Linked DNA regions of Daphnia pulex. The protein of the gene in region 1 interacts with the protein of each later gene in a biochemical or structural test. Links are inferred from orthologs where the notes say so. Each region holds a gene or a part of one and is shown on either strand. Other genes may lie near its edges.

Region 1 (4,067 bases):
TCTGATGCAGCCATTTCTTTCATTTCTCGAATCAATCGCTCGTTGTGCTCTTTATAGTTGATTTCCTTCACTTCATAGACATTTGTTTTGAGGCGGCTTTCATCCTAAAGAAAAGGTAAAAGCGTCAACAGATAACAAGATCGAAATTCATAATGCTCATAGACTTACATTGTACGTCTCCATTTTCACTCTCAGGCGGAAGACATACCACTTAAAAGTAGCTTCTTCGAAAATTTTCTGAAATTCGTTATTATCCGAATCCTTCAATCTACCGACCTCGTCTGCGGATTTCCCTAAAATTTATAATCAAATAAATAAATATTATATGCTAAACGTAACATTAGTTCGAAAACAAAATTACCAAGAAGAGTTTCAGCGGTTTCTTGGAAGCAGGTTACCCATTGCTGGTCCGTGGCATCCGCGATATTGACCTATAACAAATTTCGAGTGCTGTTTTGAGAGAAATAGATTTCATAAAATATCTTTGTCATACCGAAAGCATCATGCGCCATTTGAATTCCTGGAATTCGCGCTGGCATTTCTCACATCGATAGAGGCCATTGTTTTGATCGATGACCTGCGGGAAACGCAAATATTGTCAAAAATGAGTTGTTTTATTATATATTTATGTTTACCTTTTTGTTGCATTCATCACTGGGACAAGCCATGTACAACGCTCTTTCTTTGTTGATCATAGCAACCATAGCCTTAACACTGTAGAAATCAGGTTTATCTTTTCCCAGGTTTTCGAATTTTGCTTCAGCGAAAGTCTTATACGACCCACCACTACCACCAGTGCCAGCGCCACGACTCGCCGAAATGCTAGAAGCGGCCGATGATGAGCCACCGTTATCGTACCACCCTCTTAGTTTGTGAGCTTCATTCATGTCAGGATTGATCTATTAAAAATATGCGCTGTAGAATAGTAGAGAAATAGAAAGTCTTACATTTGATTTTACCTGCACGACAGTAGACGAGACTGTTCCTAGAGAACGACCTCCAAAATCAGAAAGTTTCACTCCTTTTAATGCTACAACAGGCTGGGAGCTAGCGTCAAATTCCTCGCCCATTTTTCCCCATAAAGTCAAATTAACCTGATGTTTGAAGACAAGAATGATTAATTAACTGGGCTCGACAATTAAACGAAGAATCCAGTCATACCTCTGTGTTGGTACTGTCCACCATCTGAACTTCTCGCATCCTCAATTCTTTATTTGTCGTTTTGGAAACGATAACGCGGACGTCATTTGCTGACTTAACCACACCAATGACATCTGAAAGCACGGTCAATCGGTCATATCGTAGGCACCATTCAAATAGAAGAATTGTAATGTTAATGCACCTAAAAGACAACTTACCAATAACACTGTCCTTGTCCAGGCTAGGTAGCTGATCAATGGGAACAAAGTTGAAGGAGATTGATGGGATATCTGATGTATCATCGTGGCAAGGAATTACCTAAAAAATAAGTAAAAGAAAAAAAAATTGAGGCTGGTACGATTGACGATTGAAAAACATTCATACTGTAGTATTTTGGTTGAACGACATTTCATAATCGTTCCTCATACTGCTGTACTGTTTGTTTGCTGCCTTCAGTTGTGCTTGTGAAATGTAAAAGATCTTGCCGATCTACAACGAAAAATAACAATGTAAATAAATAACTTCAAACACTGTTTTTGAATTAAATGTACCTCAATCATGTGGTAAAACTTGTCACACTCGGCATTGAATGCAGTGGCACGGATTTCACCAGTCTCATCCACCATGTCCATCGAGAAAAGCTTTCCTTCACCTCGAGAATTGCTCCACGTACGGATATCGGACTTGTTTATAATTCTCACTTTTACAGTCCACCTACAAACAAGCAAAGTTAATGATTCAATTTTTCTTGTACTGAAATTTCTCAACAAACATACTTGTTTTGGTAGGGTGTAAGGCTTACAATCGGATGGGTAATAATGTCAGACTTCTCTGTTGGCTGTCCATATCCACCAGTTTTGTTAGGTGGTGCAGACTTCGATCCCATATTGTAATTGTTCACATTTCCTAAAGGTGCAGGTTTTGCTGCTGCCTCTTCAGTAACCTCTCCAACATCATTAAGAGTCTGAGGGTTTCCTATTTTTTCTCCAACCTAAACAAAAAATGTTCAAAATGAAGAGATATCCTTATTTGTATTTCGAAACTAAGTAAAGTGAACATACTTCACTTCCAGGCACAATTGGCTCAACATCCAAAAGAATGATAATTTTCTTTTGGTCCTTGCCTGCAGTTGCCTTAGTAGCAACTTTGTTAACAACAAACTTTTTTACTCTAATGATGGTAAAGTTCTCAAGCTGACCATCCACAATCAGATGATTTAGTTGTGTTGCCAACATTCCATATGCATAGGAATACTTTCCATCAGAGATGAGAATTCTGTAACGGTCATTATTGTCTCCCTGAAGATTTTTGTAACCCTATTGTAAGAGAAGAAAATGTAAAAATGCTGCAAATGAAGAAAAAATCTTGCTCGTTGCTTACCAAAACTTGTAGAATTGGAGTTTCATTGTGCAGGCCATTCCCAATGATGGACTATGTCGAAATAAAGATATTTATAGTTTTATTCAAAAATTCGAAATTATGATTGATATTACCGGAATTGCGCCGCTGGTTAGTGCTGGGTGATTTCTTCTGTTCATTTTACGGAACCTTTTTTAACGGGGATTACTTCGTTCAGTCAACGTGCTTGAATTTTTTTAAGCAGTTTTTACGGACAAGACGACGAAGTGCGATGGCGGGAAAACAACAGTGGTACAAACGAAACCAAGGCTGAACGTGCAGCGTTGAATGTTTAAGAAACTTTTTAACTCAATGAAGACCACTAAAAATATAAAGAAGAAAAATAATGAAAAAGTTTTTTTTCTGAAATAAAGGTTCATACGAAGCAAAAATAAGTTTTCGTTTTATTCGCATTTTTGGCGTTGTTGGATTTTTTGTTTTTCGAAATGTCCGGTTGTTATAGCAACAGTTGCAGACGACAACGGAAACTATATCGTTATATGAAAATTTGTGACTGAATTATTTGATTTCCTTCAAAAACGAGTTAATTGCCAAAGAATCTCGAAAAATGATTTCGGAAAACTTTATTAAAGCTATTGACAAGATTAACAACAATGATACTAGTGGTTTGCAAGAACTTATAAAATCCCGGGACGTTGAAATTGACGATGAGGATGAGCATGGAATGACATTACTGCAACATGCCGCTTTTAAAGGGAAAAAAGATATTTGCCAGTTGCTCCTTGACCTGGTAAGTCTAACTATATTATCAATGTTGTTAATTTGATTGAAAAGTTGACTTTTTTTCTCGAAGGGAGCTGATGCCAATGGAGGTCATCATGAACACAAGTATACTTCCCTTCATTTTGCAGCTCTGTCTGGAAATTTGGATATTTGTCAACAATTACTTCAGTGTGGTTGTAAACCTGATGTGGTTAACTCAGTAGGCAGAACTGCAGCTCAAATGGCTGCATTTGTAGGTAGGCTAGTCAATCATAATGTTTGTACAAATCATCCAAAACTAAAATGAATTATTTTGGCAAACCAGGGAATCACACAGTTGTTTCCATCATCAACAATTTCATTCCACGCTCAGAAATAGAGCAGTACACTGTAGCTCCTAGCGATCAAACTGAGCCAAAATTGCCACCAGCTGCTGCACCAGCTTTGCACAAATTTGTGATGCAGGTTGTGCACTTGAATAGACACATCACTTCATTTCTTATTCTGCCACGGAAAAGCACTTGAACTTTTTGTTTTGTTTGATTTATCAGGTCAATCTGCATCCAGTTCACCTTTTGTTGACTATTCAAAAACTTCCTTTGCTTTACGATAACCTCACAAAAGTGAAAAACGTCTTGGAGATACTTAGCGAAAATCAGATGAAGCGCAGCCAAGAAGTCAACGAGATCCTCGCACTTAAATACCACTATTTGCGTTTCCTAGTCGAAAGAATGGCCAAAGAGCAGCAGCAGCACCCCGACAAAACCGTTTTGGAGTTATTAAATCAATATGTTAAAGCATTTTTG
Region 2 (4,228 bases), on another chromosome or scaffold:
AATTTGTACAAAATCTCAGAGTTTTGGTATAGAAATGACCATAGTGGTAATAATAATTACTGAAAAAGTGAAATATTCCTGGTTTATGTCCACTTGTAGAAACGGGCATTCTTTTCCGACAATGCAGCAACGAAATGGACGCCATTGACGCGGATAGGGAGGAGATCCAAAACGGGATCTGAACAGGGCAGCTTTTGAAGCACTGCCGATGAATTGACGTCCCATAGCGAAATACACTGGGCGGCCTCTTGATGGGCAGCCACCATTAGCTGCTTGCCTGATGCAAATAATTAAAACAAAAATTAATTTGTGGGTCAATTCAGGCGTGAAATAATCAATAATTTACCTTCAGTGGAGCCCGGGGCAGTAAGGAGGCACGAACGGGAGAGCAACTTCTGCTGTGATCCAGCTTGGATGGTCGTAATAGCGTGACTACTGCAAAGGCCGGTGGACGAATCGCTACCCAATGGAGTCCAAGAAGGAGCACAGACGGTATGGCGAGCCTAAATGGATGACCCTTATTACCGCCAGATTCTAATTGAAATGTCAAGAACGAATGTGAATTATTACTTGGGGATGAGCGGTGCTGGGCCTAGACGAGGCCAGAAAATGGCGCGTCTCTGGCTCAATGCAAAGCGATGTGAAGGACCCATCCAAAGGCAGTGTATGTGGAACAAAGCCGTCTGTCCGTGACTCGTGGAAGACACACGACTGCAAACGCTGAACAAAGAGTCCACCTCTGGGAAAAGTGGTCACCGGACTAGCAAAAGAAAATCAAATTCAGTCAATTATCCAGGAACAAAAACAAAATTACATAAAACATTAAAAGGTTCACCTGAATGGAAGGTAAGCAAGTCCAGTGACGGGCGACATGCTGTTGGGCTCTGACCAGCACTCAACTGCATCGCCGGATTTGCGCATATCGTAAAGTAAAACCTTGCCAGTGCCAGTTCCAACGAAAAATTGGTATTTGTTGTCGGCATTCCATGCGCAACTCCAAAGAGGTGCATCGCACTGGTACGAAGTGACTGAGATGTCACTGTGGACGTTTACCAGCTTGGCCGTCTTGTCCAACGAAACAGTCAGAAGCAGGTCGTTCTGTTCCAGGTGGAAGGCCATGTCGCGGATGGGCTTTCGGTGAACGGCGATGTAACCGACAGTGCGAAATCCTCCCAGTGCGTTTACTTTCTTGATACCAGTGCCCGTCAAGTGCGAATTTGTTCCAGCATAAGACACTACGAGCAGAGTTAAATGTTCGCTATAAGACATGACGCGACACTGGCCTTCTTTACAAAGCTCCAGTGTCGAATCCAGAACTAAACGACGGCCTAGTATTCCAGGAGGTTGAGATCCAAATAGAGGACCTGCCCCCGCTAAAGGTAATTCGGCTCCCTGGCCACTGGCTGCTAAACAGGCGCCTGACAAAGCTGCACGGCATTGTTGTAACTCTTGTTGCAATCGTAAAATATCTTGCTCTTTGGCGGTTGTTTGAATTTGAAGTTTGTGATACTCTAACTCTAACCTACGACGGTTTTCTTTCTCCTGCTCTAGAGCTGACAAGGCTCTGTCTCTTTCTGTCGTGTCTATTGCCTGGAAATCAACCATTTTGATATTAGAGTAGGAAACAATTGTTTTTAACAAATTTTAGTTACCTTTAAATTTCTAACATATATAGGCCTAATATCCTTCTTTTGAGCGGACTCATTACACTGTGGACACCTGGCCCCCTTGCCACCAGAGTGAACCCAACGTTCTATGCATGCTTGCCCAAACAAATGTCCACATTTTAACGACACAACTCTGTGGGATCCAGAGTTGCTCCAAACATCAAAACATACTGGGCAGACCTATAACCATATGAATAATGCAGGATAACACAAAAAAAGTACTCCACTTAGCAACAGACTTACTTGTCCATCTTCTTCATCATCTACAGCAGTTTTGTCTTCTTTTTCTGGGAGAAAACCGCCAGCAGAATCTGATTTAGATTTCCTTGAAGGAGGCCCCCCATCTTCAGTTTCTTCATCATCATTATCTTCATCTAATGAATGAGAAATATAAAAATTATTAATGAGAAAAGGGAGGAAAATTCTTTAGCATACCTCTAGGCCTGCGTCGCCTGCCTCTGATCAAAATAGGGGACAATGGTCCATTACTTTCAGCTAAACTATCACGACTATCCTGATCTGTTTGAGCTTCATTCGTGATTTCCAGTTCTACGGTACCAATTCTGTTTTCAGTAGACGAAGGCTGGACAACAATAACACTTGCTCTTTGGTTACGTTGTTCAAGTGAGGGACCTGCAACTTGGACTTCTTCCGGATCAGCAGTATCTAATCTTACTGCTGATTCGTCGATGTCGCTGGCCATACTTGGAATATTTCAGCACGTTTTAATTAACACATTGGGCACGCACGGCACGAGTAATAAATTAATTGAAAACGAAAATGGGCGAGTATATGGTCAACTTGAGTTGGTCAACAAAAATCTTCATAAAGAAATTTTATTGACTACAACTCCATCTTTGAAGCAATGGTGAATCAAATTTACATCCGTCACCAGATGGCCCTCGGAACTTTATTAGCTCATTCATTTTGACATACGAACGGGTCGAACGCCGTGTCGCCGGATCGATTTTGAAAATAACATTTGCTTTCGACAGAGGAAATTCTTGTTTACATTAGAACTCGACGTAAATGGCACTAAAAATCTATTATCAAAGAAATAAAATGAAAAAGAAACGTTTTCATTTACCTCGATCAGAATAATTTACTGTAAACGACTCTGCCTCGACCAATAAATTCAACACTTCAAACATTGTAGACCACGCGGTGCACCAGAAACTTAGACCATAAGGTATGTGTGTTAATTTTTGATTTCATTGTGATCGGTTTGGGATCAAGCGGAAATACCATTGTGCAACGTTTAATCTAGGGGATATAGTCACAAAGCATAGATAAACCACCTTGTCACTTGTTCCAAAGATAAAAAGTTCCAACTTCCAAAGAGTACAATTGTATGAGACTGATGAGATTGATTAAGGGTATAAATTCTCTGGACGTGTTCATTAGTCGTCAGTCAAAAATTTCGGAGCTGTTGTCCTTTTCAGTCACTCGTTATGGGTTCCATGCTGTGGAAGATTACCTTTCTTCTACTTTGGGTAGGAGGCCAGTCTCAACAATTCATAAATCCGGCGTTAATCATTTCACCGGAGAGTGAACGATCTTTTGAAAAGTGGAGGAATATAATTAGCCAACAACTTCAGGAAAGTGGGTCCACTTTTGATTTAACGTCAACACTTCACAACGTTTTCGCCGCACTCAAATCTTCTTCATTCCCAACGGCGGTGGCTAAAAATATTAGTCAACAATGTTTACAAGATAGCCAGTATTACGTTCATAACCTTTACGCCAACCAAAGTCTATGGGCCTTACAAAGTAAGTTGAAAAAGAAGCTGCATTAATAATAATCATGGAATAATATTCAAAACTGAACTATGTGTTTAAAAAAATGTTGTAATAGCGTGTTTACGATATCGTTGAATGACATGGCGGATGTGTGTGGAAGATCTGTCCTATTAGTCATGTTACAAAGGTTGAATTGTATTGATTATTATATTCTCTGTCGTATAAAGAACTGATAATGAAGGATGCAAAAGGTGACTAGAGATTGAACAATGACCTTATTTTCACTTACTAATGACATCTGGTAACGATGATTAGATAACAAGTGATTATCACATCTCGAAATTTGGGACAAACATTGTGTAATTCATTAATTATTTATTTAAAAAATAGTGCAAGAGTCTTCAGCCAAGCTTCCACCGGGGTTATTTGGATCACGTAACATTCACGCGGATGGACTTTTCGATGAATGTCTGGCCGTTCGGGCACCCGGATTCGATGGGCAATACTGCAGCGTCTACTTTCAACCAGTGGCAGTCGATCAGTCCGAAATTCTACCTCCGAGATCATTCAATGAGAACCACGAAGGAAGAAGGAACTTTGTCACTATTTTTCAGCTTTTGGGATTATTGGGATCGGATCGGGTCGAGCCAAAAGTGTCCGTGGCGGATGCCAGCACTTACATTTATCCTAGTACCACATTCTGCCTGCCATCATCTTGCAGTGCTGCCGACCTCGGTCAAGCGGTTGCTGAGCTCATTGGCAGTTACGTCATCGCAAATTATTCCATCGTGACCGTGACTGACGAGCAATATTGCTTTAAA

Evidence for each region. The genes of interacting proteins can lie anywhere in the genome.
Region 2: the proteins of replication protein A 70 kDa DNA-binding subunit-like (region 1) and E3 ubiquitin-protein ligase RFWD3-like form a complex in vitro, tested with the Homo sapiens proteins (3 studies listed by BioGRID, with this or other methods). The link is inferred for Daphnia pulex from reciprocal best matches to the Homo sapiens genes RPA1 and RFWD3.

Annotation. Positions count from the first base shown.
Region 1 is NC_060017.1:3,019,604-3,023,670, forward strand, and holds the start of replication protein A 70 kDa DNA-binding subunit-like, read right to left. Parts: upstream 2,803-4,067; 5' UTR 2,679-2,802; coding exon 2,634-2,678; intron 2,572-2,633; coding exon 2,521-2,571; intron 2,457-2,520; coding exon 2,202-2,456; intron 2,132-2,201; coding exon 1,917-2,131; intron 1,855-1,916; coding exon 1,692-1,854; intron 1,630-1,691; coding exon 1,525-1,629; intron 1,459-1,524; coding exon 1,359-1,458; intron 1,275-1,358; coding exon 1,162-1,274; intron 1,095-1,161; coding exon 960-1,094; intron 900-959; coding exon 636-899; intron 578-635; coding exon 494-577; intron 432-493; coding exon 362-431; intron 294-361; coding exon 169-293; intron 105-168; coding exon 1-104. Other genes in the region: ankyrin repeat and MYND domain-containing protein 2-like, read left to right, coding at 3,107-3,289, 3,353-3,518, 3,587-3,726, 3,813-4,067. UniProt on the Homo sapiens protein: As part of the heterotrimeric replication protein A complex (RPA/RP-A), binds and stabilizes single-stranded DNA intermediates that form during DNA replication or upon DNA stress.
Region 2 is NC_060027.1:2,170,145-2,174,372, reverse strand, and holds the start of E3 ubiquitin-protein ligase RFWD3-like, read right to left. Parts: upstream 2,806-4,228; 5' UTR 2,371-2,805; coding exon 2,103-2,370; intron 2,042-2,102; coding exon 1,911-2,041; intron 1,848-1,910; coding exon 1,653-1,847; intron 1,591-1,652; coding exon 836-1,590; intron 761-835; coding exon 571-760; intron 504-570; coding exon 347-503; intron 278-346; coding exon 84-277; 3' UTR 1-83. Other genes in the region: nose resistant to fluoxetine protein 6-like, read left to right, coding at 3,119-3,437, 3,798-4,228. UniProt on the Homo sapiens protein: E3 ubiquitin-protein ligase required for the repair of DNA interstrand cross-links (ICL) in response to DNA damage. Plays a key role in RPA-mediated DNA damage signaling and repair.